Tamandua tetradactyla: one gene and its partners. The protein of the gene in region 3 purifies or fractionates together with the protein of the main gene of each other region. This does not show direct contact. Links are inferred from orthologs where the notes say so. Each region holds a gene or a part of one and is shown on either strand. Other genes may lie near its edges.

Evidence for each region.
Region 1: the proteins of ANAPC1 (region 3) and ANAPC2 fractionate together in Homo sapiens (co-fractionation; 8 studies listed by BioGRID and IntAct, with this or other methods). This does not show direct contact. The link is inferred for Tamandua tetradactyla from reciprocal best matches to the Homo sapiens genes ANAPC1 and ANAPC2.
Region 2: the proteins of ANAPC1 (region 3) and ANAPC7 fractionate together in Homo sapiens (co-fractionation; 6 studies listed by BioGRID and IntAct, with this or other methods). This does not show direct contact. The link is inferred for Tamandua tetradactyla from reciprocal best matches to the Homo sapiens genes ANAPC1 and ANAPC7.
Region 4: the proteins of ANAPC1 (region 3) and CDC27 purify together in Homo sapiens (affinity purification with mass spectrometry; 16 studies listed by BioGRID and IntAct, with this or other methods). This does not show direct contact. The link is inferred for Tamandua tetradactyla from reciprocal best matches to the Homo sapiens genes ANAPC1 and CDC27.

The regions. Positions count from the first base shown.
Region 1 is NC_135328.1:130,760,674-130,767,927, forward strand, and holds the start of ANAPC2 (anaphase-promoting complex subunit 2), read left to right. Parts: upstream 1-4,252; 5' UTR 4,253-4,295; coding exon 4,296-4,406; intron 4,407-4,702; coding exon 4,703-5,325; intron 5,326-6,305; coding exon 6,306-6,438; intron 6,439-7,254. Other genes in the region: TPRN (taperin), read left to right, coding at 1-93, 168-274, 359-421; microtubule nucleation factor SSNA1, read right to left, coding at 2,654-2,761, 2,854-2,967, 3,303-3,502, 4,012-4,063. UniProt on the Homo sapiens protein: Together with the RING-H2 protein ANAPC11, constitutes the catalytic component of the anaphase promoting complex/cyclosome (APC/C), a cell cycle-regulated E3 ubiquitin ligase that controls progression through mitosis and the G1 phase of the cell cycle.
Region 2 is NC_135331.1:11,114,631-11,122,461, reverse strand, and holds the start of ANAPC7 (anaphase-promoting complex subunit 7), read left to right. Parts: upstream 1-4,829; 5' UTR 4,830-4,835; coding exon 4,836-5,041; intron 5,042-7,831. UniProt on the Homo sapiens protein: Component of the anaphase promoting complex/cyclosome (APC/C), a cell cycle-regulated E3 ubiquitin ligase that controls progression through mitosis and the G1 phase of the cell cycle.
Region 3 is NC_135343.1:1,056,378-1,064,087, forward strand, and holds the start of ANAPC1 (anaphase-promoting complex subunit 1), read left to right. Parts: upstream 1-4,709; 5' UTR 4,710-4,965; intron 4,966-6,539; 5' UTR 6,540-6,563; coding exon 6,564-6,776; intron 6,777-7,248; coding exon 7,249-7,410; intron 7,411-7,710. UniProt on the Homo sapiens protein: Component of the anaphase promoting complex/cyclosome (APC/C), a cell cycle-regulated E3 ubiquitin ligase that controls progression through mitosis and the G1 phase of the cell cycle.
Region 4 is NC_135332.1:20,307,429-20,314,521, forward strand, and holds the start of CDC27 (cell division cycle protein 27 homolog), read left to right. Parts: upstream 1-4,091; 5' UTR 4,092-4,244; coding exon 4,245-4,271; intron 4,272-4,404; exon of another isoform or gene 4,405-4,528; intron 4,529-7,093. UniProt on the Homo sapiens protein: Component of the anaphase promoting complex/cyclosome (APC/C), a cell cycle-regulated E3 ubiquitin ligase that controls progression through mitosis and the G1 phase of the cell cycle.

The sequences.
Region 1 (7,254 bases), on a different chromosome or scaffold from region 3:
CTGCGGAGAGGCCCTTTGGGCTCTTTCTGCCCCGGGCCAAGTTCGTGAACAGCGTGGGCCCCGAGGGCGCTTGGCTGCCCGACAGCAGCTCAGGTGAGTGCCCCCCGAGGGCCCTGCCCAGGGCCGTGTGCCTGGGCTGCATGTCCACACAAGTGGCCTCCCCACAGGCCTGTCCAGCTACACTCCAAAGCATTCCGTGGCCTTCAGCAAGTGGCCTGAGCAGATGCCAGAGCCAGCTCTGAGTGAAGGGGAGCCGCTCCCAAAGGAGATCATGGTGAGTAGGGGGCCGTCAGGCAGCGAGGGTGTTTCTGGGGCCTGGATGAGTCCCAGGACACCCACTTGTCCATCTCTTTGGCAGCTCACACCCGCCAGTCAGAGTGACCTCTCGGACTTCCGCAGCGAGCCAGCCCTGTACTTCTGACATCTGCACAGCCAAGACGGGCAGGCCAAGCCCCTGAGGTGCCCCATGGGCCAGGCCACGCCTCACTGCCCCACAATACCCCACCTCCCGTTCTGGGCTGCAGGACATGCCAGGACGGAAAGACAGGGCCTGACTGGGTGTCATTCTCTGTGGGTGGGCTCCAAAGTACAGCAGAGTGGGCACTGCCCAAGGGGGAGGGCCAGGAGTCCTGCAGGACAGTGGCCCTGTTTGGAACAAGGCAGGAGCCTACTAAGCCCGGGCTCCCCGCCCCCACCAACTGCCCACCTCCCCTAGCCGAGTCTGTTCTGTCTGACGAATGGACCCAATAAACAGCACTGGACAAGGCTGCCTCTCTTCTCTGGATGGTCTGCTGCCTGGCCTAAAAGCTGCGGGACGTGGCGGGGGAGTGGTAGAGGGCAGGGCTGGGATCTTTGAAGTGCTGTTGCTGGAGGAAGAGGCCAGAGAACAGCAAGGAGTCTACGTGCCCAGACCCTCACCCCTATCCCCAAACCCAGGTCTCCCCTCCCTCACGCCTTTGCCTGGGGTGGGGTGGGGGTGGGCACCTGTCCTGTGTGCTACTCTGGGGGTCAGAGGCCCTGGAGGCCCTTTGGGGAAGCAGCCCACTCCCATCCGGCAGCCTCTCCCAGGGCTGGCTAAGACCTGAGCTCTGGAATTCTGTGATGGGGCTGAGACCTCAGATGCATGTGGTGGGTGCTGGATGGGATGCATAAGAACAGCTCCCTCATGGGTTCAGAGCAAAGAGCTGGGGAGGACCTGAGGACCAAGACAAGGCTGAGTGGGTGCTGCAGAGGGCAAGAGCATGCTAGGGCCTCAGGAATCTCCTCTCACCTGGGCTTGGGGGGGTGAAGCAGGCAGGCAGGCAAACTCAGTGGATTCTGACAGGTGCTGGGGGGAGCCAGGGCTGCCTGCTCTAGATGGGGAGCTTTGCTGGGCTGGTGGCCCCTTAAACATCCTCTCAGCTGTGCATGTGCCTGCTGAGTTGCAGCCATTTACAAATCCATAGACAAATCCTGCTCAGGCTTTGGGTATGAATGTTCATGCCTTTTCAGGAGTCAAACCCAGGAGAAAGGTCATCAGTCCAGGCTTGGGAAGGAGAGATGGTTTTGCCATGTTCTCAGAATCAGTGGGGCCAGCTTTCTTGCGACCTTTTTGGTCAACATACACTTCCAAATCTGCCCAGTCCCCCAGGCCCTTGGTTGCTGCAGCCTCATGAGGCTGTTACACGACTACATGGGGGCATGGAGGAGCCTCATACTAGAGGCCAGGTCCCTTCACATGGAAGAAAAGTGGGTGGCACCCAGTATGTGGTGATGGGGGATGATGTCAGACTCTGGCAGAAGCTTGAGTATAGGGTCCAGAGGCACCTGTGCCTGGTTAGGGGCTGACGTGCAATTGTTTGGCCGTTACAACTTCAAACAAGTTGCAAAGTCTCGCTATAGATACCAGGTCTAAAAGCACTGGGCAGGGTGAGCCACAGTGGCTCAGCAGGCAGAATTCTCACCTGCCATGCTAGAGACTTGGGTTTGATTGCCAGTGCCTACCCGTGCTAAAAAAGAAAAAAAGCACTGGGCAGTAATCAGAGACCTCACAGAACTACTCCAGTGTGCTAGGGTTGAGGGGGAGGACATGTGGCCCTACATGGGGCAGCAGGGACTGGGGCTGATCTGGGCAGGGTGGGCAAAAGTGGGTCTGGTCTGCACCCCTGAGGTGAGAGGATCCTATGATGGGAAAGCCACTCCAGGCTCTCCTCTTGGTAAAACCTACACACAACCCAGGACATGAACAGTAGGCTGATACCCAACTTTGCAAAGAAAACCTTTATTCACAGTTGCTGGGCATAAGGTCTGAGCTCTAAAATCTGGGTTCTGAAGCCCTGGCACCCTCCCACACTGGCCTGGTTGGGGCCTCTGTTGGCTGAGGAGGGCAAGGGGAAGACTCCTGGGGCTCTGGGACTAGACCCTGGGCTCCTCAGCAGTTCAAGAAGGTGAAGGCCTCAGAGAGGGCCCCATGCAGAGCCACCTGGAGCCCTCCCTGCAGCTCGCCATGAGCTTAAGCCAGGCCCTCCCCATCTGCATGGGCAGCTCGTGGGCATTCTTTCCATCCAGGGCAATGGAGGGCGGCAGTTACTGCTGCCAAGGGCAGACACTTTGTGAACAGATCTCCTGGGGGCCATGTCGGCGTGGGGCGGGAGGCAGGCCACCAGTGGCCTCATCAACTATCCTTGCCTCCACTGCTCTTCTGGTCTGATGCTGTGGCCTTGGTCAGATTCCCAGCTTCTCTCTTCAGGATGCTAAGCAGAGTCTGTGAGCTCTCCAGGATCTGAGGCCAGAAGAACAAAAGGTTTGTCACTGCTCCTCAGAGTAGGAAGGTTCCGCAGCCCACCTCACACTCACGGCAAGCAGCATACCAACCCAGAGGTGCTGCAGGGGACGCGCGCTGGCAGGGGGGCAGGCAGAGCCACCGGGATAAAGCTCCTGAGGGCCAGGCACGTCCTGTGTCCGGCCCAAAGCTTGTTCTTCCCCAGCCTGCAGAGCCAGGCAGACTTAGTTTTGACTGCAGCTGTACTCTGGAAGTTCTGTCCCTTGCACTGAACAAAACGGACTGAGTAATAAGTATGGAGCCAAGAACAGGGCCACAACACTGCGGCTCCATACTGGTCCAGGTGCCCCAGTCCCAGAGGCTCCCTGCCCATAGCTGTGTGCTCCTGATGCTCTGCCCCAGAGTCCAAGCGACAGGAACTGAAGCTGCTGCTGGTGGGAACCCCAAGCCACACTTCTCCAGAACGTCCAAGGCTTGCCAGTATCAGCCCTCAGCCCAGCCTGCAGCCCCCTGGGTCCCCCCCCTCCCCCCGGAGCCCCACCTTGAGATAGGCAGCCTCTGTCTCTGCGATGGTCCGGTCAAACTCGTTGCGAGAGGCAATCTTGCGGGCCAGGTTCTCGTTGACCCGGGCTAGTTTCTCAGTCAGCTGCCTCACCTCATTCTGCAGCCGCTGCTTCTCCTCCTCCTCCTGCTGGATCTGCCGGCACAACTCTTCCCGTTTCTGGCACAGCTCCTCGATGCCTAGAGCAGGGGTGGGAAGGAGGCACTGGTGGGGGCTCAGGGTAGGAAGTCACTCGATCCCCCAAACTCGAGAGCCCATCCTTCCAAATTGTGGTGGGTGGAAGGCTAGTCTAAAGTGAGGCCTGGCGGCATCATCGTCCCTCCAAGTAAGGTCCAAGGAACTTCCTAGCAGGGTTTCGGGGTTAAACAAGTCACTGCACAAAGAGCTGTGGACGGCGTGCCTAGGAGCCAGTAAGCGCTCCAGGCACTCCTCTATTTTACTCACTAAACAGGCCCACCGGTCCCAACCGCGTTCATCAGCTTAAATCCAACGGCGACTCTGATCTAAGAAGGCCCCCGCGTCAGCCCCGGCCCAGGCCCGCTCCACCGGCCAGACACCCAGGACGGAGGATACCGGGGGCTCGCCCAAAGCTAAAGCCGCCACGCACCCCACCCACGAGGGCCCTCGCCTCCCCCGCCCGGCACCGGCGGGACACCCAGGCGGGCGGGGCCGCAGGACGGGCGCTCACACTTGACCAGCTCGTTGTTGTAGTTCTGCAGCGCCGCTCCCTGCTGGGTCATGGTCGTCGCACGCCGCCCGATTCCCCGCCAAGTCAACTGCCGCTACCGCCGCCAAGGCCGGCGCCCGCCAGTGTGACGGACGTCGCACCCCCTCCCGAGCGTCATCGCCGCGCGCCGCGCCTGTCCGAGCGTCATCGCCGCGCGCCCCCTCCCGAGCGTCATCGCCGCGCGCCCCCTCCCGAGCGTCATCGCCGCGCGCCGCGCAGGGCCGACCTGGAGCCGGTGGACGCAGATGGCTGCGACAGGGGAGGAGACGGCCTGCGAACCCGGGCCTGGACCGGAGCTGTTGGTGGCCTGGGACACCATGAGCGTCGGGCTAGTGCCACCGGCGGCGCTGGGCTTGGTGAGGCTCGGGAACACACTCACGGGCCCACCTGGGGTTCCTGGGAACCTGTCGCTCTCTAGGGCTTCCAGCCTCGCCCACCGCCGTCCTCCCTCCTTCCCCCACAGTTCTGCCGCGTTCGGCGCCCTTGGCAGCCCATGCCTGGCGACTGCCGGACATCCGTGCGCTGCCGACAAGGGGCGGCGGGGTTTCCACAGCCTTTCCCCGCTCCGCTCCCTTCCCCGCTTCTCCCCTGCCGCTGCCGCCCTTCCCCGCTTTTCGCCTTGTTCCTCTTTTCGCGGTTTTCTGCACTTTAGGCGTCCTCCCGGACCAGCGGTGCGGTCCCGCCGAAGGAAGAGGAGCTCCGGGCGGCGGTGGAGGTGCTAAGGGGCCACGGTTTGCACTCGGTTCTGGAGGAGTGGTTCGTAGAAGTGCTGCAGAACGACCTGCAGGCCAACATCTCTCCGGAGTTCTGGAATGCCGTCTCCCAACGCGAGAACTCTGCCGACGAGCCCCAGTGCCTTTTGCTGCTTCTTGACGCTTTCGGCCTGCTGGAGAGCCGCCTGCACCCCTACCTAAGGAGCCTCGAACTCCTGGAGAAATGGACTCGCCTGGGTCTGCTGATGGGCACTGGTGCTCAGGGGCTACGGGAAAAGGTCCACACCATGGTGCGGGGTGTCCTCTTTTTTTCCACTCCTAGAACCTTTCAGGATATGATTCAGCGCCTCTATGGGCGCTACCTGCGAGTCTATATGCAGAGTAAAAGGAAGGGGGAAGGAGGCACAGACCCGGAACTGGAGGGGGAGTTGGACAGCCGCTATGCCCGCCGCCGATACTACCGGCTTCTGCAGAGCCCGCTGTGTGCTGGGTGCGGCAGTGATAAGCAGCAGTGCTGGTGCCGCCAGGCTCTAGAGCAGTTCCAGCAGCTCAGCCAAGTCCTGTGAGTACCCCTGGGATGGCTGTATCCTCCCCCGGTCCTCCTGAGTCCACATTATTTCTTTGATAGGTCTCTGCAGAGAGCTGATTGAGGGCTCTACCTGCTTTCCTGGCATCTCTGGGCAGTAAGATACACCTTTTCTTCTGGACCCAGAGGTGTGTCTTTCACACTGCTCACACTCAACCCAATACCGGATGTCTTCTCCACTACCACCCCACATGGCTCTTATCTGCAGGAGCCCAAACTTCCTGCGTTGCCCAGAATTCTCCTTGGCCAGTTGTAAGCTCTGTAAAGGAGGAACAGTGTTTGTATTCATGGGAGTACCTAGTTTTTACTGCAGTGGCTGTGAACAGCAGACTGGCTATTTCCTTTTGTGGGGAGATTGGACCAGCATGACAGGCAAGCGGACTTCTTTCCCTGTACTTTGAGAGAAGAGTACTTTTTTTTTTGTTAGAGCCAGATCCTATTACATGAGCCCTCTAGCAACTGTCTCGGTCTCCCCGGCCTGCCTGTGGTGATATTGTCACGTTGAGTGAAGTGGCAGCACTGCAACCGTTTGGGAGATAGCATCTCAGCTGGACCAAGGGAGGAGGCCCTGAAGGGTGTAAATGCTCTTTCTCATCTTCCCTTTGGGCCACCTGTCACTTAGATCAGGGTCTGCACTGAAAAGTACTTAGGTTCACCTGGCAGGGTACTGTTGGCTGCTGTTCCAGAGGCACTCCTAGTAAATGAAGCTTGGCCCCAGGAGCCACACTTACTGCTGCTGGATAGAGGATGCTGTCTGGGTGGGGTGTGCAGCTGCTTCCCAGGGTTCTGCCTTCCCAGCAGCTTTTCCTTGAAGCCCTTGGTACAACTGCCCTTTGAGGCGGCAGTGGGAGCTCTCCCTGCATGGGTGGCAGGTGTGCACTGTGCTCCACATGCGGGGCCGTCCTGGGTTCCCGGGCCAGACATGCGCCAAGTATACCCACTACTCTGCCTTCCAGACACAGGCTCAGTTTGTTGGAACGGGTCAGTGCGGAGGCAGTGACCAGCACTCTGCATCAGGTGACACGGGAAAGGATGGAGGATCGCTGCCGGGGCGAGTACGAGCGCTCATTCCTGCGGGAGTTTCACAAGGTGAGGTGCCCATTGTCCGTGCCTCCACCAGGACTGGCCCTGCCAGAAAGCACTTCATTGGCCACTGAAACCCATCCCTCTTGCCAGGTAGAGGCCAGATCTTCTGGGTCTGTTCTGGTGACAGTGTCCAAGGTCTACGCAGAGCTGCATGGCAGGGGCAGTGCCAAGGGCAGGAGTGGGGAATCCACTTGCTTCTTGACCTTGCTGCCTCCTCTTTGTGGGCTCCACTTCCATCCCTGACAAGGCCCCTACGACCAGCCTGCATGCCTCCATGGGCTGAGCGTTCCTTGCAGGGCAGGGAAGGAGAGCAGAGTCACTGCGGGGGCGGGGTCTGGGGCAGAATGGCGTGGTGGCAAGGTCACCCTTTGCTGAGGGAGGCAGAGCCTTGGTGTCCGCTGTCTGCTCGTAGGCCTGCAGCTTGCCCCAGGGCGCCCTCAGTCCACAGAGGAGCTGGGCTCCTAGTGTGTGGACCTGTTTGCTTCTCGCCGTTCCCAAGGTCCCTGTGGCACACAGTGTTAAAAGTGTTGTCTCCAGAGCTCCAGCCTAGAGTGGGCATGAGCACCAGCAGCCAGCAGAATGAGCGCACTGTTCCCAGGTGGAGAGAACATGGCCTAGGAGGTGGCAGCCTTGTGCATGGGATGGTCTGTGGGCCATGTCCTCATGCCAGTGAACATGTACACTGGTGGTTTGCATCATGCTGTGTCATGTACTGGTCCCATGTCTAATCCCATGTGTGTGGCTGTGTTCACATGGAGGGGGATATGCCTCCCACACAACCCATGTGTCTGTCATTCATGTACCCTGCATTAGGGTCAC
Region 2 (7,831 bases), on a different chromosome or scaffold from region 3:
TTCTTCCTTTCCAATTTTGATGCCTTGTATTTCTTTTTCTTGTCTAATTGCTCTGGCAAGAACTTCCAACACAATGTTGAATAACAGTGGTGATAGCGGACATCCTTGTCTTGGTCCTGATCTTAGGGGGAAAGTTTTCAGTTTTCCCCATTGAGGACGATATTAGCTGTGGGTTTTTCATATATTCCCTCTATTATTTTAAGGAAATTCCCTTGTATTCCTATGCTTTGAAGTGTTTTCAACAGGAAAGGATGTTGAATTTTGTCAAATGCCTTCTCTGCATCAATTGAGATGATCATGTGATTTTTCTGCCTTGATTTGTTGATACGGTGTATTACATTAATTGATTTTCTTATGTTGAACCATCCTTGCATACCTGGGATGAATCCTACTTGGTCATGATGTATAATTCTTTTAATATGTTGCTGGATTTGATTTGCTAGAATTTTGTTGAAGATTTTTGCATCTATATTCATTAGTTACTGTTTTAGTTACTCTTACTGATAATCTTTCTTTCTATGCTTTCCTCAAAATGTCTCTCTCCTATCTTTTCTTTTCAGCCTGAAGAACTCCCTTTAGTATTTTTTGTAGTGCAGGTCTCTTGTTTACAAACTCTCTCAGTTTGTTTTTATCTGTGAATATTTTAAACTCTCCCTCAAGGACAGTTTTGCTGGATAAAGAATCCTTAATTGCGTTTTTTTTCTTTCAGTATCTTAACGTATCATGCTGCTGCTTTCTCATCACCATAGTTTCTGATGAGAAATCAGAACCTGGTCTTATCGAGCATTCCTTTTATGTGATGAATCGCTTTTCTCTTGTTGCTTTCTGAATTCTCTCTTTGGCAATGGACAGTTTGATTAGTATGTGTCATGGGGTATCTCTGTTTGGATTATTGTTTGGAATATGTTGCTCTTCTTGGATATGTAGATTTATGTCTTTCATAGAAATTGGGAAGTTTTTGGCCATTATTTCCTCAAATGTTCTTTCTGTTCCTTCTCCTTTCCATTCTTCTTGGATAACCGAGAGGCATATATTTTTGCATTTTGCACTGTTTTTCAATTCATTGATAATCCCTACTCAAATTTTCCTGTTCTTTCCTTTATTTGTTCTTTTGTTGGATTTTGAATGTCCTGTCTTTTAGCTTGCTGATCCCTTCTTCTGCCTGTTCAAATCTGTTCTCATATGCCTCTAGTGAAGTTTTAATCCCATCTATTGCACCTCTCATTCCCATAATTTCTATTATGTTTCTTTTGGTACTTTCAAGTACTTCTTTATGCTCACCCAGTGTCTTCTTAATATCCTTTTTCTCTTTAGCCATATTTTCTTCATCTCCTTGAATTAATTTAAGAGGTTTCTTTTAACGTCTTTGATTAGTTGTTCCAAATTATATATCTCCTCTGACTTTTAAAATGTGTTCCTTTGCCTAGGCCAACTCTTTCTGTTTCTTGGTATGGCCTGTAATTTCTTGCTGATATCTGGGCATCTGATTATGTTGATAAGATTATTCTGAAGGTTGGTTTCTCTTTCTTGGCTAAGAATTTGTTGTTGACTGGGTTAGTGTTAAGGTAATTCTTTGCCAGTTATTTTGTCAGTATTTCACAGCCCATACAGGGTCAGGGACCCATACTAGGGACCCACTCCAGTTCCACAGTTCCCTGGGTAATGGCTCAGGAATGATGCCAAAAAAGCTCTTTATTCAGCTCTCCAAAGTTGTGCTTTACTGGCCTGCCCAGCAGATGACTCTTTCCAGCAACTATTCCTGCAACCCTAGGAAAACAAGGTATTTTGGGACCTCTTGATTCCACCTCTGACACTAGTCAAAACAATGGCACAGCATCACCTGTTTGGGATGGACTAAAGCAATGGGACCCAGCTGTCTAAATTCATGAGGCAATAGCTGCATCAGTACTGAGCCATGTCCCCTTTTGTTGTTTGGGAAGAGGACTTCTGCAGCCATCCTATTCTGCAGCAGCCTACTAGGTAGGAATCAGGCTGACTCAATGCTCCTGGCTTAAACTGTGTGGGCTGGGCACCAGAAGCCATGGCAGCCTGAGTTACTCACAGTTTTCATAACTTTCTCTCTCTCAGTAGGACCCTTTGATGAGGTCACTTCAGTTAAGGTATAGCCCAACTCAATCTGGATGGATCTTAATCCTATCACTAGAGCCCTTTATAAGGACAGTGAAATTCAAACAGTTAGAGAATAAGCCACTGGAGGCAAGAAGCTGAAGGTCAGTGTAACCCAGAAGAGAAGGGAGAGGCCAGGAGAGGCCACCATGTGCACTGCCATGTGGCAGAGGAGTCCAGGACCAAGAATCACTTGGCAGCAGCCAAGCTCAGAACCCCATAATCTCCAGGGAGAAAGCTTCACCTTCACTATGCCTTGATTTGGGCTTTTTCCTAGTCTCAAAACCATGAGCTAATAAATTCCTATTGCTTAAGCCAACCCATCGCATGGTATTTGCTTAAGAAGCCAAGAAAACTTAAAACTCCCAGCAATTCCACTGCTAGGTACTTACTCTAAAGAACTGAAATCATGGACTTGAAGCGAGAATTGTACATCAATGTTTATCATGGTGTTATTCACAATGGCCAAAATGTGGAACAAACCTAAATGTCCATCAGCAGATGAATGGATAAACAAAATGTGGCATATCCATACAGTGGAATCTTTTTCTGTCATTAGTATAAATGAAGTGCTGATGCATACTACATAACATGGATGAACCTTGAAGACATGTTGAGCGAAATAAGCCAGACACAGACGGGCAAATCTAGCATGATTTCTCTGATATGAAATTCTTACAATATTTAAATTCATAGAGACAGAAAGCAAGGCAGTGGTTACTTGTGTGGTGGTGATGGAGGATGGGGAGTTATTGCTAAATGAGAAGGAGTTTTTGTCTGGGATGACCAAAATAGTCTGGAGACAGATAGTGGTGGAACTTACAAACTGTTGTCAAAGAATTGTCCATTTAAAATGTTTAAAATGATTGTTATATTATTATATGGCCACAATTGTGTATATTACCACAATTTTTTTAAACCTTTTTTTTTTTTAAAAAAAGGATACTAAGTGACAAAGATGGGATTTGAACTCAGGCAGGCTGGTGCCCACATCCCCCTAAAGAATACCTGTATGTCTGCTACTTAACTTTATCAGTCCTAAGTGTTTTGCCACAGTTGAAGCTCCCATACATACTTTCCTCACCTCATTCCCACCCACTTTTCCTATAGGTAATCTCTATCCTGATTGATGTTTATCATTTCCATGAATTTCTTTATGATTTTTTAAAGGTGTGCATATCCATATATAATATATAATATTGTCTTGTGTATTTTTGAACTTTATTTAAATGATAGCACACAGTGTTATAGTTATGGGACATTTAATTGCTTCCCTGGTTCTTGTACACATTTGAATTTGTGACCCAATATATTTAGTCACTGTATAATGAAGGAATTTGGAGTCAGAACACCTGACTTAAACAGCCATTTAACGGGTGGCCCATGATGGCAGAGTTCTCATGTGCCATGCCAAAGACCTGGGTTCATTTCCCAGTGCCTGCCCATGTGAAAAAAAAAAAGCCATTTAACAACCCAGGCACAAAATTTAAGTAGACAGCCTCCTTACCTGTAAAAAGGTAATGGCGAGTTCAACCTGATAGATTGATTGATTTGTGAACATCCAATGCAAAAAGTGGTGTAAATCTTTCGTAAAATACTGACTGTGTTGGACAAATGCTGATTAAGGATACCAGCTCATTCTTGGACCTAGCCTTTATTAATGCTGGCTCGCCAATCATTTCACAGGGTAAGCTATGCCCCTTCCCACCCCAGTCAGCTAATGTGCAGGCAAAGCAAGAACACAAAACACTTTGGAGGAGGTGGGGTGTGGTGCCTTCACCCTGCTAGGCAGGCCGATGGGGAATGCAGTTAGGACTGCCCTGGCTCTTGGTTAAAATATTTAATGACAGCTGTTGGGAATTGTGTCACACCCTACTATGTTTATTTTTATTTATAAGAGTCCACCTCGTTTTATTCGTTACTGAGAGGCACAAATTCCTCTTAGACTCATCTGATTTCACTTGAGCTGCTTCTGATACCAATCAAACCCGGGGATCTCTGCCCGAGGTGCCTCACAGCCGATCTATGACACTGGGTTTCAAAGGGAGAAAGAGTTTACTGCAAAGCGAAGCCAGGAGAACAGATATGGCCCGTGGGCCCAGACTCTCTCTCCCCTTCCAAGGAGTCAAACAGTGTTTTGATGGATTCACCCAAGGGGAGGTGGAGTTACTATTACGATTTACAAATGTAAAGGAGTGGAACCAGGCTGGACCTAAGCTAGACTAACCATTACCATAACAAGTATGAACCCCGCAGTTAGTTCAGGGCTGCCTCAAGTTTCTTCCTTAACATCAGGGGGTTGTCTTTGTGATAAGTGTCTAAATTTGTAAAACAGGGTAAGGGGTTACAGCAGGGCCAGTCAAGAGGTTTTTACAGTTCGAAATTTAGTGGATTTCAGTAACTGACTATTCTACAACATACCAGAAGGTAAGAAAAAGGCGTCTGTATAACGATTCAGTCATCATTTTTTGTTAAATCTTAATATCTCGGTTAGATTCCTACTGAGGTGCCTTTTGTCCAACCCAACCCATTTTAAGCCGTCAATAAAACCTGCTGTTTAGCATGCGGATGTTATTATTGCTCAAAAAATAAAGAACCCGTGTCATTCTACCACGCCGGGTAGGCGGGGTAAGGAGGGCGCTCTGATTTTTACGCAGGCACCGCGCTGGGCGCCCGCGCGCTTGGGGGCGGAGCCGCCGGTGGACCCGATGGACCCCGGCGGGGCTGCCATTTTGGCGCCTTCCCTGAGGCGCTCCTACCGGCCTCTGGTGCCGCCGCCGCTGCCGCCGTTAGCGGCGGCTCTGTGTGCCAGGATGAACGTGATAGACCACGTCCGGGACATGGCAGCCGCGGGACTGCACTCCAACGTGCGGCTCCTCAGCAGCTTGCTACTTACAATGAGTAACAACAACCCGTGAGTCGAGGCGGGGAGTGGTCTGGGGCTGAGGAGAAAGCGGCGCGGGTTTGGGAGCCGGGGCTGCGGGGGTCTGGGGTCGGGCGGGACGGATGGGGACCGCGGGCCCCGATCGAGGGTGCAGGGTCAGCGAGGGCCTCGTCGCACGGAGCCGGCTGCGGGGCGCGAGCTGTTTACTAGGCGCCTGCGTTGCGCCCGGCTTTGGGATGTTGCGAGCGGCGGCGGCTCGGAGGATGGGAGGCAGGAGGTGCTGAGAACCTCTTGAGGGTCCGGCGCCCCAGACCTTGGGCGCCGGAGTTTTCCAAGGCACCTGGCGCTGAGCGGAGCGGCTGTCGCGTCGCTGGATTGAATCCCCCTCTCCCGGCTCCTTCACAGAAAATGTTTTCCCTCTCTCGCCGCAGCTCAGATTGGCCCAGCCTCCCGGATTGTATACACTCGCTCCCAAGTAAGATGGATGTATTCCCTCGGGTGTATCTGGAGGGTCCACTTTGTCGCCTCGGCATGCCCCCGAATACGGAACACTCCCTGGGTGGGTGGGCGTGGCGCCTCTTTGACTTGCACGAGATGCCATAGCCTGGCCCTTTCCGGGTTTTCCGAGCTTCCTTTTGTGGAATCTCAGTAAGGAAGAACCAAAGGTCCAGAGAGTCTTTCTCTGACCACCAGCGTAACCTCTGCTGTATCTCATTGCCCTGTTTTATTTTCTGCATGGCTTTTACCGCCTAATGAAGTTATTTATTTCATTTGCATCTGCCTCTCCTGCTAGACAGCAAGGACCATGAGGACAGGTGCCTCATCCGTTTTGTTCACTGCTATAGTCCCCATCACCCAACAGGGTGCCTGGGGGGCAGTGATCGCATACATGTTTATTGTACGTCATAAGAAGTGGGTTCAACCTAGTACCTTGTCGAATTTCACACATCTGGAAAGTGGAGGAGCCAGGACTGGACCTTGGGCCCCTCTGACTCTAGAGTCTATCTGTTCTGACCCACCCCAGACTAAAAGGCATTGTACTGAATCTTCTGTGCAGTGTGGATTCCCTGCAGTTGGCATGCTCCAGAAGCTGTTTAGGTCAGCAAGGAAAGGCCCTAAGTGCATGCAGTGCAGACACTGCTCCCCATTTCATTCCCGTTAGTGTAATTTGGACCTCACTATGTGAGACTCATAATTTTGCCAGCCGCTTAGAGTTGACAGTGAGGAGGCCTGGTCTCTGTCAGGCTTCTGTGTTTATTTTGGAGCCTTTCATTTGGTTTCCAGTGATTTTCCAAGGCATTTGGTTTCACCATTGAGGATTTATGCAACATTCCGTCAATACTCTAAGTTCTTAAAGATGTTACAGGATACTCTGAAGCAGTTTGGTCCTCTGGCTAGACTAAGTTTACATAGCCCAGGCTGTGTGTCATACTGGGGACCAATAGTTTTCTAGTTTCAGGAGGTGTTTTAGGTTCTGACCTTTATCATTTGCATTTTAAATTAACTTATTGAATATGTAATACACATACTGCTAAAAAAATTTTTTTTAAAAGATACAAATAGTGCAGAAGGGATTTGCAGGTAATTGTCTGTCCCTGAACCATTTCCCTTCTCTAGAGGCAACAGCAATTGAGTTTCTCATGTATTAGTCTAGAGATAATCTCTGCATGTATATGTAGGCATGTATGTTACATTATATAAAAATCTAAATGAAATTCTTGTATGTAGTAATATTTTGTTCTTTATCCGAGGTCTTTATTTTTCACTAAATATATAGAATCTCAGAGTTAGTTAAGTCATCTGGTCTGTACTTTTTGGTCCGTGAATTTCCTTTGTAACTTTCTTTTTTTATTAATTTTTTATTTTTTTATTATGATCATTCCATTCTACATATATAGTCAGTAATTCATAATATCATCACATAGTTACACATTCATCATCATGATCATTTCTTAGAATATTTGCATCAGTTCAGAAAAAGAAATAAAAAGACAACAGAAAAAAATTCATACATACCATACTCCTTACCCCTCCCTTTCATTCATCACTAGTATTTCAAACTAAATTTATTTTAACATTTGTTCCCCCTAATTATTTTTATTCCATATGTTCTACTTGTCTGTTGACAAGGTAGATAAAAGGAGCATCAGGCACAAGGTTTTCACAATCACACAGTCACATTGTGAAAGCTCTATCATTATACAATCATCATCAAGAAACATGGCTACTGGAACACAGCTCTACATTTTCAGGCAGTTCCCTCTCCAGCCTCTCCATTACATCTTGACTAACAAGGTGATATCTGTTTAATGCGTAAGAATAACCTCTCTAGACTCTGTTTGGAATCTCTCAGCCATTGACAGTTTATTTTGTCTCATTTCACTCTTTCCTCTTTTGGTTAAGAAGGTTTTCTCAATCCCTTAATGCTGAGTTCCAGCTCCTTCTAGGATTTCTGTCCCACGTTGCCGGGAAGGTCCACACCCCTGGGAGTCATGTCCCACGTACACAGGGGAAGGGTGGTGAGTTTGCTTGTTCTGTTGGCTGGATAGAGAGGCCACATCTGAGCAGCAAAAGAGGTTCTCTTGGGGGGTGACTGTTAGACCTAATTTTAAGTAGGCTTGATCTATCCTTTGTGGGGTTAAGTTTCATATGAACAAGCCCCAAGATTGGGGGCTCAGCCTTTTGCTTTGGCTGTCCACACTGCTTGTGAGAATATCAAGAATTCAACTTGGGAAAGTTGAATTTTCCCCCTTTCTCACCATTCCTTTGAAAATACTTTTTATATTCACTGTTCAAATCACTCTGAGATTTATGGGGCAT
Region 3 (7,710 bases):
CAGCAGCACTCTATTGTAAAATGGAAATGGTATATATGAGATAGAGCCAGAGCAGGTACTGAAGGCACAAGTAAGTTACATGAGGAAGTGGCCCAAATGCCCATGGTCTCCACTCCTGCCACATCACCTTCTCTTTCCCAGACCAGAGCTATGGCCTCTTGGGGAGTTCCTTACAGTGAATTGACTGAGGAAGAGAAAATTCGGGCCTGGTTTACAGATGGTTCAGCACGATATGCAGGTACCACCCAAAAGTGGATAGCTGCAGCATTACAACCCTTTTCTGGGGTGTCCTTGAAGGACAGTGGTGAGGGGAAATTCTCCCAGTGGGCAGAACTCTGAGCAGTGCATCTGGTTGTTCATTTTTCTTGGAAGGAGAACTGGCCAGAGGTGTGTTTGTATACTGACTCATGGGCTGTTGTAATGGTTTGGCTGTATGGTCAGGGACTTGGAAAGACCATAATTGGAAAATTGGTGACAAAGAGGTCTGGGGAAGAAGTATGTGGATAGACCTTTCTGAGTTGGCTAAAAACATGAACATATTTGTGTCCCATGTGAATGCACACCAGAGGGTGACTTCAGCAGAGGAAGATTTTAATAATCAAGTGGATAAGATGACCCGTTCTGTGGATACCAGTCAGCCTCTTTCCCCAGCAACTCCTGTCATTGCCCAATGGGCTCATGAACAAAGTGGTCATGGTGGTAGTGATTGAGGTTTTGCATGGGCTCAGCAACATGGACTTCCACTCACCAAGGCTGACCTGGCTACAGCCACTGCTGAGTGCCCAATCTGCCAGGAACAGAGACCCACATTCAGACCCCGATATGGCACCATTCCCCGAGTGACCAGCCAGCTATATGGTGGCAGGTTGATTACATTGGACCACTCCCTTCATGGAAGGGGCAGCTACTTGTTCTAACTGGAATAGACACATACCCTAGATATGAATTTCCTTTCCCTGCACACAATGCTTCTGCCAAAACTACCATCTGTGGGCTTACAGAATGCCTTATCCATCGTCATGGTATTCCACACAGCATTGCTTCTGAACAGGGAACACACTTCACAGCAAATGAAGTGCGGGAATGGGCACATGCTCATGGAATTCTCTGGTCTTACCATATTCCCCATCATCCAGAAGCAGTTGGATTGACAGAACGGTGGAATGGCCTTTTGAAAACTCAATTACAGTGCCAACTAGGTGGCAATACCTTGAAAGGCTGGGGTAATGTTCTCTAGGAAGCTGTATATGCTCTGAGTCAGATATCTGCTGTATGGTGCTGTTTCTCCCATAGCCAGGATCCATGGGTCCGGGAACCAAGGGGTGGAAATGGGAGTGGTACCACTCACTATCACCCCTAGTGATGCACTAGGAAAATTTTTGCTTCCTGTCCCTGTGACCCTGAGCTCTGCTGGTCTACAGGTTTTAGTTCCAAAATGGGGAGTGCTTCCTCCAGGAGAAACAACGATGATTCCATTGAACTGGAAGTTAAGACTGCCACCTGGTCACTTTGGGCTACTTATGTCACTGGATCAACAAGCCAAGAAGGAGACTGCATTATTGTCTGGGGTGATTGATCCTGACTATCAGGGGGAAATAGGACTGCAACTATGTAACGGGGGTAAAGAAGAGTTTTCTTAGAATATAGGAGATCCCCCTAGGGCATCTTTTAGTACCATCATGCTCTGTGATTAAAATCAATGCAAAACTGCAACAACCCAATCCAGGTAGGACTACCAATGGCTCTGAAATTTCAGGAATGAAGGTTTGGGTCACCCCACCAGGCAAAGAACCACAGCCAGCTGAAGTGCTTGCTGAGGGTAAAGGGAACATGGAATGGGTAGTGGAAGAAGGTAGTGATAAATATGAACTTTGACCACGTGATCAGTTACAGAAATGAGGACTGTAATGCTGTTTTGTTCATGTTATACTATTTAAGTTGTAAAACATCAAGTTTAAGAATGAATGTTGCCCAAGGATTTGAGCCCTATTCTGGAGAGATTTAATGTGTTTCCAGTTATATGCAGGACAGTTGAGTATTGTTAGGTAAAAGAAAAAATGTGTGTTTTATTGTTTTTATTTGGGAATTGGGTATGGTTTAAAGTAATATATATAGCTGCCAAGTTGACAAGGGGTGGACTGTCATGGTCAGGTTCATGTGTCAACTTGGTCAAGTTGTGGTACCTGTTTGTCTGGTTGGGCAAGTGCTGGCCTGTCTGTTGCAATGACATTTCATAGAATTAGATCATGACCACGTCAGCTGCATCCACAGCTGATTCCATTTGTAATCAGCCAAAGGAGAGTGTCTTCTGCAATGAGTGATGCTTAATCTAATCACTGGAAGCCTTTTAAAGAGGATTCAAAAGAGACAGGCTCTCTTCCTGCTTCTGCCGGCAAGCCTCTCCTGGGGAGTTCGTCCAGACCCTCCATCAGAATCATCAGCTTCACAACCTGCCCTGCGAATTTTGGTCTCTGCATTCCCGCGGTCACGTGAGACACTTTTATAAATTTTATATTTGCAAGTGTTCTCTGTTCATTGTGTTTCTCTAGAGAACCCTAACTAATACACCAGCTTTCAGCTTTGATTTCAATTGTTTCAGAACATAAAAGATGCTTTCAGAGAATCAGTTAGATCTGTGGCCCAGAGCGCTGCAACAGCCAGCAATTTCAGGACGGTGCTTTGTTTCATTTCCAAGTTTCTTTAGACACAAAAAAATCTTCTTGGTTGGGATACTTTGCTTTCTGCTTGTGGTGGACATGTGTTGCCATTTCTGTCTACCATCTACTCTGCTTCTCATGGTAACAATACCTAAATTTCATTTTGTGGGTCCACCTCAACCCCCTTCTCAGTCCACGAGGAATCTGATTCCATTTCTGGACTTAGTGATTATGATTTAGAATCAGTCAGTCAGAGCCTCTCCTTCCCAGCCCCTGACTGAGTCACAGATGGGCACGTGACCTCAACTGGGCCAACCACGCTAGGAAAGCTCAGGTTTTGGACTTGTTTTTGTGCTCTGGGGGAAGTTCTCTTTCCCACTGGGTTTGGTGTTGGGCTGATGTGTCCATGCAGATGCTTAAAGCCATCATGCATAACCCGACAATGAATCAGATGCAGCAGGAGGTGGCCATGCAACCTTTGGAGATAGAAGAACACAGGTTCTGATAACATGATTTGAGCCCTGAATCCAGCTGCCCTTGAAGATTGTCTCCGCCCTTTCAGTCGTGTGAGCCAATGGGTTATCTGAAGAGTACTGATTGATCTGTAGCTTAATTGCTCCTGTTTTTAATTTTAAACAATTGATATAACAATATTATTATATGATTAACTATAGTCCATATGTACATTGGGGTTCACTCTTTGTGTTGTACGGTTCTATGTTGTTTTTTTTCTTGGTAACTTACACAACCTAAAATTTCCCATTTTATCTGTTTTTAAATATACAATTCCATGGTGTTAATTACAAGTTTTATATTTTGATGAAGTCCCATTTATTGATTTCTATTTTGGTTGCTTGGGCTTTAGGTGTCATACCTAAAAAATCATGGCTTAATCCAATATTTACTCCTATATTTCCTTCTAAGCATTTCATAGTTTCAGCTCCTTTATTTAGGTCTATGTCCATTCTGTTACTTTTTCTATATGGTATGAAGTATGAATCAAGATTTCTTTTTGCTTATGGATGCCCAATACCTCCAACACCAATGGCTGGAAAAGCCTTGTCCTCTCTCCATTGAATTGCTTATGCAACTTTTAACAAAACATCAATTGATGCCATTCTTTATGTGTGGGCTGCACATACTGTTTTCCTTCCAGGGTGTACGGTATGTAAAGAGGGGGTAATCTTACAGTGGAGAAACCTGAGAAACACCACCCAGCTGTCATCAAGGTCAGCACCAACAGCGGGTGTGACGATGAGGAGGGCACTGTACCTCCGTGGTCTCCCCCCTGCAACCCATCGCCCAGCCTAATCTGAGAAATACATCAGACAAATGCCAACTGATGGACACTCTACAAAACTCTTGTCCATTATACGTCAAAACCACCAGGTCATCAAAAACCAGAGGGGCCTAAGCATCCTCGACACTAAACACACTGTGTAATCGGAAGCCGGAAAAGGCAGGAGGGAAAACCGAATAAACAATGTGGGCGAGTCTGCCCAGGTCCGGGCCAGGGGCGCCTTCCAGCCGACGAGGCACGTGGACCAAAGCCCGGCGGACGACGGCGGAGCGAGAGCCAGGGATGGGCCCGACCGCAGGGCCGGTGCGCGGCGAGCGGGAATCCGGGCAGGCGGCCGCAGGAAGGCAGGGTCCGGCCAGCTGGACGAGTCCGGGCGGAGAAGGTGCCCTTCGCTCCCGGCCGGGGCAGGCGCTCCGCCGTCCCGGCCCAGGCCGCCGGCGAGGCGAGGCGAGTGGCGCGCAGGGGCCTCTTCTGCTTCCCGGGACGCGACACTGCGCGGGCGACGCCGGGGCAGAGGCTGCGGACGCCGCCGGGACGGCCCCACGCCCTTCGCCCACTCCTCAAGGGACCCTGGCGCCAAAGGCTGCGGCTGCACGAGCGTCCGGAAGGGCGGAGACCCTCCTAACTCCGCGTCCGCGCAGGCCCGGGTCGTGGGGGCGCGCTCGAGGAGCACCCAAACTGCGCAGGCGCCACGGCCGCCGAGCTCCGCGCACCTCCCGCGATGCTCCGCGCACCTCCCGCCGTGCCCCGCGCCAGCGCGTGGCAGGACGGGAAAGACAAGATGGTCGCGTCCACCTGAGCTTCTGACTTGAGCGCTGCATTCTCCAGCTTGTTTGCTATTGGCAGTCGCGCCTGCTGCTGCTGGTCATTATTTCTCCGGAGTCGGGGAGGGAGAGGGGATGAGCAGCTGTGGCGACCGAGGAGTCACCGTAACAGTCCCCGCCGCTGCCTTCAGGCCCCGGGGAGCAGCCGCGGCTCGCTGCGCCTGACGCGTCCGGTGTCCCACAGGTGCGGGCCTGCAGCTCCGGGTGGTCCATGGCGCGCCCCCCGGCCCTCCGCACCCCGAGGCTGTGCGCACCGGAGGGCTGGGGCGTTGCAGGCGAGCCCTTAGGGGTGTGCGGCCCTCGCCGTCCTTCCCGAGCTAACCGCGGGGTTCCCCGCGTGGCCTCGGCTGCTAGACTGGCCGCTGTCCTCTCCGGACGGATTTGCCGAGGGCCGGGCCCTTAGCCTGTTGCCTTCGCGGCCTCCTGAAAGGACTGCGGGAGCGCACGGCCGTTTTGCAGAGACGCCGCCCGCGGTGCCTTCGGTGTCTCCCGTTCAGTTTTACTTTGTTTGCATGGGCAGCCCGGGAGCCGAGCCCGGAGTCCCGGCGTGGCAGGCGGGACTCGTCTTGCGTTGGGTTTGGGTGTTTGCTAGACCTTGTGGGCTAGAAGCTTACTGGAAAGGAATTTCTAAGCCTGTTCTCTATTCCTTCTTCCAATTGATCTTCTGATTTTAAAATAAAAATACTCTACTTTGGAAATCTCTAGTTGACTCTTTAGTATTTGCCACATATAGGACGTGTGTAGTTCTTGGTGTTAATATACCGTGTGTGTACCGAGTACGGTGTGTATATATACGGAGTAAACGTGTTTACAGTAGTGCCTGAGTTTATAGTCATTTGGGTCGCTCTGAAGAGGCGTTGTGCTTACCTCGGGCAGGTTAGTTTTCGTTCCTGATAGGCAATGCTGATAGTCTTGATTGATGGCATATCAGTTTAGTATAGTGCTTTATGTATAACTCTTTGTGTTGCCTCTAAGTCAAGTAAAAACTTCTTTGTGAAAGTTTGGAGTACCGTAAAAGTATATTTGTTGTCTTAATCGGTACAAAAAATGTACTGTGAAAAATATTTTTCTTTTCACAAAATTTTAAGAATAAACTTGGATAAAATTATGTTATCTCTTTAAATAGTAAAGGGAGACCTGTTGAATTCTGTTGTTTTCTTGTACGTTTTACAAGGCACTTTTTTAGTTACATCTGTTCAAGCTTCCACAACACCTTTTGCTAGCAGGGGGAATAAAGGAACTTGTGTCATGTTTGGTGATTACAGTTATCTCAGAAATAACATTTGATTCACAGAAAAATAAAACTTCGTGGCTCTTAAGGAAATCCATAGGATTTGAGGTATCTATGTGACACAGAAAACTGATGCCAGAAAGACCTCAGGTGAGAAATTGAGGTCAAATCTAATCAAACCCTTTTAATTCTGTGAGCTGTTTCAAATACTCTAAAGTTTGTCTCCAGAGCTGGCATCAAGTGTTTGTTTTGATCTCTGTATTTGAGGATTACAACTTAAATGTGAGACCACAAATTCTGTTTTCAACATAGATGTTGGAGATGGGATTGACACTCAGCTTGCATACCACATTATATAGTGTCAGAATTCTACTAGCTGTTAATCACTATGTAGAAATGTTTGGGAGGTAGAGAGGAGTGTTTTGACCTACAGCTCATTTACATCTCTTCTGTAAACTTTTTTATGGTATTTTTTTTGCTCTATTTTGACTCAAGAAACTGACCAAAATGTATTTGAATTCATACAGAAATAATGTTGATATTTGGAACCCATGTCGAACTTCTATGAAGAAAGGGCAGCGATGATTGCAGCCAGGGATTTGCAGGAATTTGTTCCTTTCGGTCGAGACCACTGCAAGCACCACCCTAATGCACTGAACCTTCAGCTTCGCCAACTGCAGCCCGCCTCTGAGTTGTGGTCTTCCGATGGTGCTGCTGGCTTGGTGGGATCCCTTCAGGAGGTTACAATCCACGAGAAGCAGAAGGTTCCATTAAGTTTCCCGTTATGTTTTTGAAAATAATTTAAGACTACCCAGATGAAACTGAAAAATGAATATAATGCTAATTTGAGGGTAAAGATTAGGGCTTGACTAGTTTAGTCAAGGCTAAAATGATGACTTTACTGTATTATGGTGTCATAGTTACCTATTTTGACATGCTGTAAAACTCGTTGTTTTTATATTAAGTTCAGTGTGGTTGAGATCCATTTTAAACCTCTTCTTCACGTAGTGTGTAGGGACCACATTTCATGTTAAGTATTAAATGGTAGAGATTAGGTATGATCCCTGTTGCAGAAGATTTGCATGCTTCTAGAGAAGCATAAAAAGTGTCACGTAAGTGGTAGAATAGTTTTGGTGGCTTTGACTAAGTGTTAAATTTCTCATTTGTAAACACTCAGATCTTTTTACCTTGAAAAGAAGGGTGCTTGAACATGTCCTGTGTGTGTGAATTTTTAAGGAAAGCTGGCAGCTGAGGAAAGGCGTAAGTGAGATAGGAGAAGAAGTGGACTATGACGAGGAGCTCTATGTGGCTGGAAATATGGTGATCTGGAGCAAAGGGAGTAAAAGCCAGGCACTGGCAGTTTATAAGGCATTTACCGTTGACAGTCCTGTTCAACAGGTGAGTTATTTAAATTTTAGCATTTGATTAACTGTTTTTACACTTAAAAAACTATAACAGAAAAGATGAAATCATCTATCACGATGATTAGCAACTGGGTATATAATTTAATGTGTAGTGAAGGTAATGATAGGAAAATAAAAAGTTCATTTTATTTTGTATTTCATCAGTTTTTTTTCTTGTTTACTCTATCTTTTGTCAATTGAATGATAGTTTTTATTTATTTATTTTTGCATGGGCAGGCACTGGGAATCGAATCCGGGTCTCTGGCATGGCAGGTGAGAACTCTGCCTGCTGAGC
Region 4 (7,093 bases), on a different chromosome or scaffold from region 3:
GTAAATTTACCAATTTTGCTGGAATCACTTGTTTAATTGCCCATTTTCCCATATAGCCTATAGGTCTTTGTGACTAAATGTTGGAGTTAAAAGAAAAAGAGTGATTTCTGGTTTGTTCAATGGAGAGGATGATAATCCTTTAAACTGGGATAGGAAATATTTCAGGTATAGGAAATGAGGCATTCCATACTGAACAAGGTACCTGTGAGAGATCCAGATAGAGACAGTTGGCAGCTAAGCATTTGGGTCTGGAACTCTAAGAAGCAACCTGGCCAGAGATACAGATTTTTTTAACAACTTGCAGATGAGAAACTGAGACCACAAGAATGGGTGGGTTTGCCTAAGCAGAAGGCGTAAGGTGAGAGGAAGGCCTAGAACAGATTCCTGAAGCACTTCAAAGATTATACCTAGCAGAGCTGCTGTAAAGGAAGCTAGCAATCAACAGTAAACTAAAGGGAAAAAAAAGCAAGAGGCCTTTTTTTTTTATGTTGACAAGAAGCTAAAGGAAAGGGTAAATTGACTAGGAGAAAGGAACAAACATGGGGTAAAAAAAAAAAGGAAAAAAAGCCTCTAAGTCAGTTAAGATAAGGAGAATGTAAAGTAGCATACAGCAGGGACAAAATGAAGGGGACGACAAGGAGGAAAGACGGAATTGACAGGAAAAGCACACTTACTCTGGGCTACATTTCAGTGGAACCTGCATTTTGCCAATGAAACCATATATAGCTTCTTCAATAGTTCCCTAAGTATTGGCCTCCAAATCTGATTGAACATGATGGACCAGGAGGCAGGATAAGCAGAAGAAATAATTTACCATTTTTGGAATAATGTTTACTGCAACCCAATTTCACTCACCAGCTAAACATATGTGGATAATGGATAAGAGTAGGTTGTCAAAGTGTTTACTGGGTGGTGATTAATCAGGACAGAGAAGGAAGTAAAAATGCTATAAAAGAATTTATCAAAGCACAATTTCAATGTGGCCTTGCTATGGATGATTAGAAAATAACAACAGATATATTAGCATGAAAATGGTCAAAAAAAAAAAAAAGATTCTTGGCCCATGGTGGCTCAGCAGGCAGAGTTCCCACCTGCCATGCCAGAGACCCAGGTTCGTTTCTTGCCTGCCCATGCAAAAAAAAAAAAAAAGATTCTCATTTTTAGGGGAAAAAGGGCTGTAGGCAAATTCTAAGCTTAAAAGCCAAAGTGCCAAGCATAACAGACTCCTTAAATGCTGGCTCTAGAGGCACGTTTACATGTAAATAATTATCTTTATGTATCCTGTGGGTAAATTCTTACATTCAGATTTACCAAAAAAAACTATTGCACAAGTACAAGACTTGGGTTGGCAGCAGGTTGCATGAAAATGAGCTGGGTTTGTAAAATGATCACAAGCTTAGCATAAGAAAACAGTGTGCGGTGGTTGCAAACAAATGCAAAGACAACTTTAGTCTACTTAAAAGAAGTATCCAGATACTAAAAATAACAGTTATATTGCATCCCGAATTGATTAGAACAAATCTAGAGTATTGTATGCAGTTAAAAGGGTCAAATTTTAAAAGTGATATTCTTATCCATTACTTTCTTTCCATTCCTAATGACCAGGTTCTCTCATCTCATACCTCTGACGGTAGATTGTTTCCAAAGAAGGTCCAAAAGTCCCTTCCATCTCACATGTCTTTTGCTGTGCCTTTTTTGCCACTCTTCCTATCAAGAGTTGGGTTCTCCTCCTGGTGAATGCAGGCTGATCTTGTGTCTTACTTAAACCAACAAGTGATGAGGTTTAACTTATAGTCCTAGGCCTTGAGGGGCCTCACAGCTTCCATTTTGACCTCTTGGTTGCCAGCCACTAAATCAAGAAGCTGAGGGTACTTCTGACTGATGAAAGGTCAATGTGGAAAGAGAAGTATGTGCAACGAATTGAGCCAGCCAACACTAACACCAAGACCCCATACATGTGAGTGAAGTCATCTTGGATCTTCCAGTCCCAGTAAAGACACCCCAACTGTCACTACATGAAGCAAAGAAGAGCCTTCCCATTGGGCTCTCTCTGAATCCCTGACCCACAGAATCATGAGCAATAAAATGGTTATGGTTATAAGGCACTAAGTGTTGGGGTAATTTATTCTGTAACAACAGACAACTGAAACACCTCGATTACTAATTATTCTCCACGACATAGCATGGGGTTAGTAAGAAATGTGAAGCCAGATTTCCTGGATTTGAATCCATTTGTGTGACTGTGGTAAGTTATTTAACCTCAGTTTCCTCATCTATAAAATAAGAGAACTACCTGTGCTGGCTAATTGGGGATACACAGGTAGTTTAGGGGTAAAATTCTTGTCTGCTATGTGGGAGACTTAAGTTCAATTTCCAGCCCATGCACCCAAAGAAAATTTTTAAAGGAAAAGTTAATCAATCAAAAAACCTACCTAGAACTGTGCTTGACACAAAGTAAGGCTCAAGAAATTTTAATTAATATCATTAGTCCAGTGCTGTCTGAAAGAATTGTCTGTGATGGTAATGTTCTTTACTGGTGCTGGCCAATATGATGGCCCCTAGCCACATATGTCTATTGAGTACTTGGAATGTAACTAGGGTGACTTAAGAACTTAATTTTTAATTTTAATTAATTAAACTTTAAATAGCTAGCTGTTAATAGCTACCATATTGGACAGTTAAGAAGTTTATTTCCACTGTAATTCATCCAGTATAATCTTACTAAAAGAAGAGGGCACAGGACAGCAGAAAATCACCTTTTGCAGGAGTACAAGTGCATGAGCAGTGACTAAAGAGGCTGGCTGGTAGAGAAAGAGGTACCTATGTCAGTTGGTATGAAAAAGAATAAAAAAGGCATTTCTCCAACCTCACCAAAAGGAAGGGAGTAACCCACTCTAACTTGATTTCCTCTGCATAAAAATGTGGGAACCAGAAAGGGGAATTTTCCACACAATACCTTGAGTCCCATATCTAGCCTAAAGAGGCCCTGACTAGAAAATTAACCTTTAAAAACTGTTTTCATCATCTGCTGAAAAACAAAAACAAAATTTTAGTAGTTCCCTAGCTCACTCATTTTTTTACTTGGCAGGAAGGAAATTTGAGAGACATGTGCTGAGCACAGCCACATACGTTACTGCATTTCATTATTTTAATCTTTTTTTTTTTCCAGTCTAAGCAAATAGAAGTGAAAAGGGATTGTTGCTGAAGAACCTAAAACCGGATAGTGCCAGAATTGAAATTCAAAATCAGGCCTTTTTCCAATAGACGAGAATTCCTCTCCTATCAAGAATAAAAATTTCTACCTGCCTTCTGAGATTCTTTCATAATTTGGTCACCTAGATAACTACTTCAAGTTAATGTCTTAATTCTTACCAGCCTGATCTTTCTGCTTCCTTTCCTTTGGCTTAATTTTACCTATCTTTCAAGGCCCAATTTAAATGTCCTTTTTTTCCCTCCAAGAAACCTTCTTTATCTTCAATCCCAATTAATTTATCTCTCTTAATTTTTACATCACTTATAATGGGAATCACGTAATGTAGCACTCTTTGTCACACTGCTTTTCCTTTAAATAGATCGTAATCTCCTTGAAGACAAGGGCCCAACTAAATCATCCGGCACGACAATCCTTTCGAATTTCCTCTGATTTCCTCTAGAACCGTGAGAAAGTAGCTAAATGACGAAAACTCAACAGACAAATACGTCTTGATTAAGGTCAGCCTCGAACTCTAGTGTTTTACCCTTTGCTTAAACCACCGAGCACCAATTATTCCACAAAGGTTAACTGACCAGCGAATCCAAACATCACCGCAGCCACGTAACGCTCCGTCCCGCCACGCCCAGCCTGCCGGTTGCCGCTTGGGCGTGGCCCGCCTGCTGGAGGCCGATTGGGCGTGGCATGCGTGGGTGAAGGCGTTGCTGAGAAGGGGAATTTACACTCTCAGTTACACTCGGTAGTTTCCGATAATCCTCGACAATTTCCGGTAACGGTCTCCCTCCCCGCCACTTCACTTCGGGTATTTCCGGCTCCTTTCGGGCCTTTCCGTCTGGCTCCCGCTCGGCCATCTCCACTTCGGGTATTTCCGTGTCCCGCTCGGAGATATTCGGCAATCGCTCGGCCTCCCCCATCCCCCGGTAACGGTCGCTGGTGAGTTTAAATGAGCCGGGGCTGGCCGGGGCTGGCCGGCCCGAGCCGCTACGGGGGGTGGGGGCTGAGGCACTGCAGAAAGTGGGCCTGAGCCTCAAGGATGACGGTGCTGCAGGAACCCGTCCAGGTAAAGATAAACCCCCCTCTCTGAGGCTTGGCTCGCAGCCTCAGTCGGGAAGCGGCGTATGGCCACTCCGCGGCCTGGTGCGGCCTAGGCCGGGTTGCTTCTCCCGCCTCTCCTTATGCCGGGTTCTGCCTACCTTTTCGTCAGTTCAGCTGCCTTGCCCGCAACCTAAGGGTGTTCCCTCTGGCCCTACATTACTTCTACCCCCATTCTGGTCGATTCGGTGATAATACCTCCTTGCCCTTCCGTGCCAGCGTTCGGCCAGCCCCTCCTGTCAGTCTAGGGGCCTGGCCTCTACTAGGGCGAGACATGAACGGCCGAAAACTCGCCCCAGGTGCTCTCCTGTCGAAAGGATGATGGAGAAACATGTTGGATCAGAGCTAGTATGATCTCCCTAATGGTGGAGCAAGTTTGCGGGATTGTGCTTCATTTTATGTGAGACGGTGAAGGGAAGGTAGTATGGGTATTTTTAACACTTATTATTTCTGTTTTAGTAACTGACTTTCTAGCCTCTGTTGCTTTTCTCGATTAGTGAATTTCTTACTGGACAATGGTCCGAGAAGAGAAGTCCAAGGCCCAGTGCTGAGGTGCAGAGCATCTATTGAAACGGGAGGAGAGTGAAAACGGCCAATCTGTTTTTTATCCCTTGCCTGTCATGGGGGTCAGGAATATTTTACTGTGCGTGTTTATAAACTTTTTGGGAAGCAGAAAGACAAATAATGGTTTTTCCATCCATTTTACTGTGCCCATCACACCAAGGTATTCTTTGACGCACGGTGCTCTATCTGTATGGAAGAAACCCCATTGGATTTTAAGTGTGTGATGCAGTGCCAAGTCATTTCCACCCCCCACCCCCCGCCATCGGAAGAAATGGAATCTTTTGTCCTTTAATTATTGACCAGGTTTGGGGAGCTTTCATGCCAAGATCTTTGACTTGATTGAAGAGTTGACTTCTATCACCTGCTGTCATTGAGTCTTGGACTTTCCTTATTTTGAAGTTAGAAAGCAAACCGATTTTACACAGATTACTTCATATTGCTCTTAATAGGCCTGCGATAGCTAATAATAACTATTTCAATACATTACTACTTCCATATTTCCTTAATTTTCTTCACAGCCTAAACTACTCATTTCTCCTAGTTTGACTTCTCCAGGTCTTAACACGTTGCAACTCCTTAGTGTTTGAGTTAATGTAACGTGGGATTCTTTCTCAGCAAAGTTATTTCTTTACAAGTTGTGCCAGTGCTTCCAAAGGTATTTCTTTCCATCCACATTTGTCTTACCAGTAGAGAGTCTCTTAAGATTTTTTGAGGCCTAACAGGAAATGAAGTTACTAACTGTACCTTCTTAAGTGGATAAACATATTATTCAAGTTGCTTAATTTCTGTTTTATATCTTGTAATTTTGTCTTAATAATTAATACTTTTGCTCTGTCTGGCCCTGAAAGGCTTCTAAAGTGATAAACTAGTTTCATTGTTAGCATATGACACGATTTAATAATAGTTCCAACCTTTATAAAAGCAGGGACAAGAAAAATATGTAGGTTATTTCTAGATAGTGCCCGTCAGTTTTCCTCTTTTCCTTAGAATACTCTTTGCAGTTAATGCACTTAGATATCTCTTAAAGCTTAAAAGCTGAGTATGTCTTTTTTTTTTACCCGTCACTAGCTTTGTCCATTAGATTTTGGGTTGGTAAGAAGTTTTAGGATATGGAGCAGTGGGAAGAGCAAGCAACTTTGGTTAAAGTGATAAAAACCAATGGATCAGGGATAGTGCTGAAAATGGGAAAGAATTAGTGAGGAAAAAAGTAGGACAGATGAATATGATGCTGTCTATATTTTAATAAACTAGGGTAACCGATTGCATGTAATGGGTAAAGGGTGAGAGTAGGTTGGGAAATTACTTTGTTCCTTTCTTGGGATGCCTTAGAGTTCATAGTATTAACCAGCATTGGAAAAAGTTGAAAGATGACCAACTGTTATTCTGCTTTTCTTTTTTTTTCATTAAAGGTTTAACAAGGAATAGCCAGTCTGATAAACCACATATGCACATAATCGTAACTATAAGGGCATTGCCCCTCCCCAAATTTCCTTTCATACCAAATGTATTACTTTGTATTTGTATATTTACAAAAATCTCATTTTGAGGCAGAAGTTCTGTTGATTATTTTATTTTTAATATTAACTTTTTGAGGAAGACACGCTGGCCTAAATGACTATACTCAGAGCTAGTTGGATCTTTATAAAAGTTTCCTGATGAACTCAGTCTTTAAAAAAGAGGCAAAAATGTTTATGTAAGTTAAACCATTGTTCTTAGAAGTAGGACCTAACAGTTGGATGTGTTGGATAAAGTTGTAAACAAGCTTTTTAAAACTCAATTTTAATAAGCAATATAGTTAAGTGGGTACTATATACGCAGTATCGCTGTAAGATCACTAGATAGTGAAGGACTACTTTTGGCTTGGAATTGTGTCTTGTGATAGCACTTAACATGGATTCAAAGATTACCATATTTCAGATAACTTAGAATTGGAGGTAGTATACTCTGGAAAATTGTGTTAAATGACCAAAAAAAGTGGCTGTAGTGATGACGACAATACTGATGTCAAAGATGTATGTGAACAGTTTGGGTGAAATTCTTATAAGCAGTAAGAGTAGAAAAAAATGAAATTACTAAATATATTTTGTAATTTAAAAATATGTGTGATTAAATTAATAGGTATTGACTATTTGATTACATACCAAAAATTTGTATATTCTAATTGGCTAGAACCTTATATTTAGGATTACCATATATTTTAGATACAATAGAGTATCTTGAAGACAG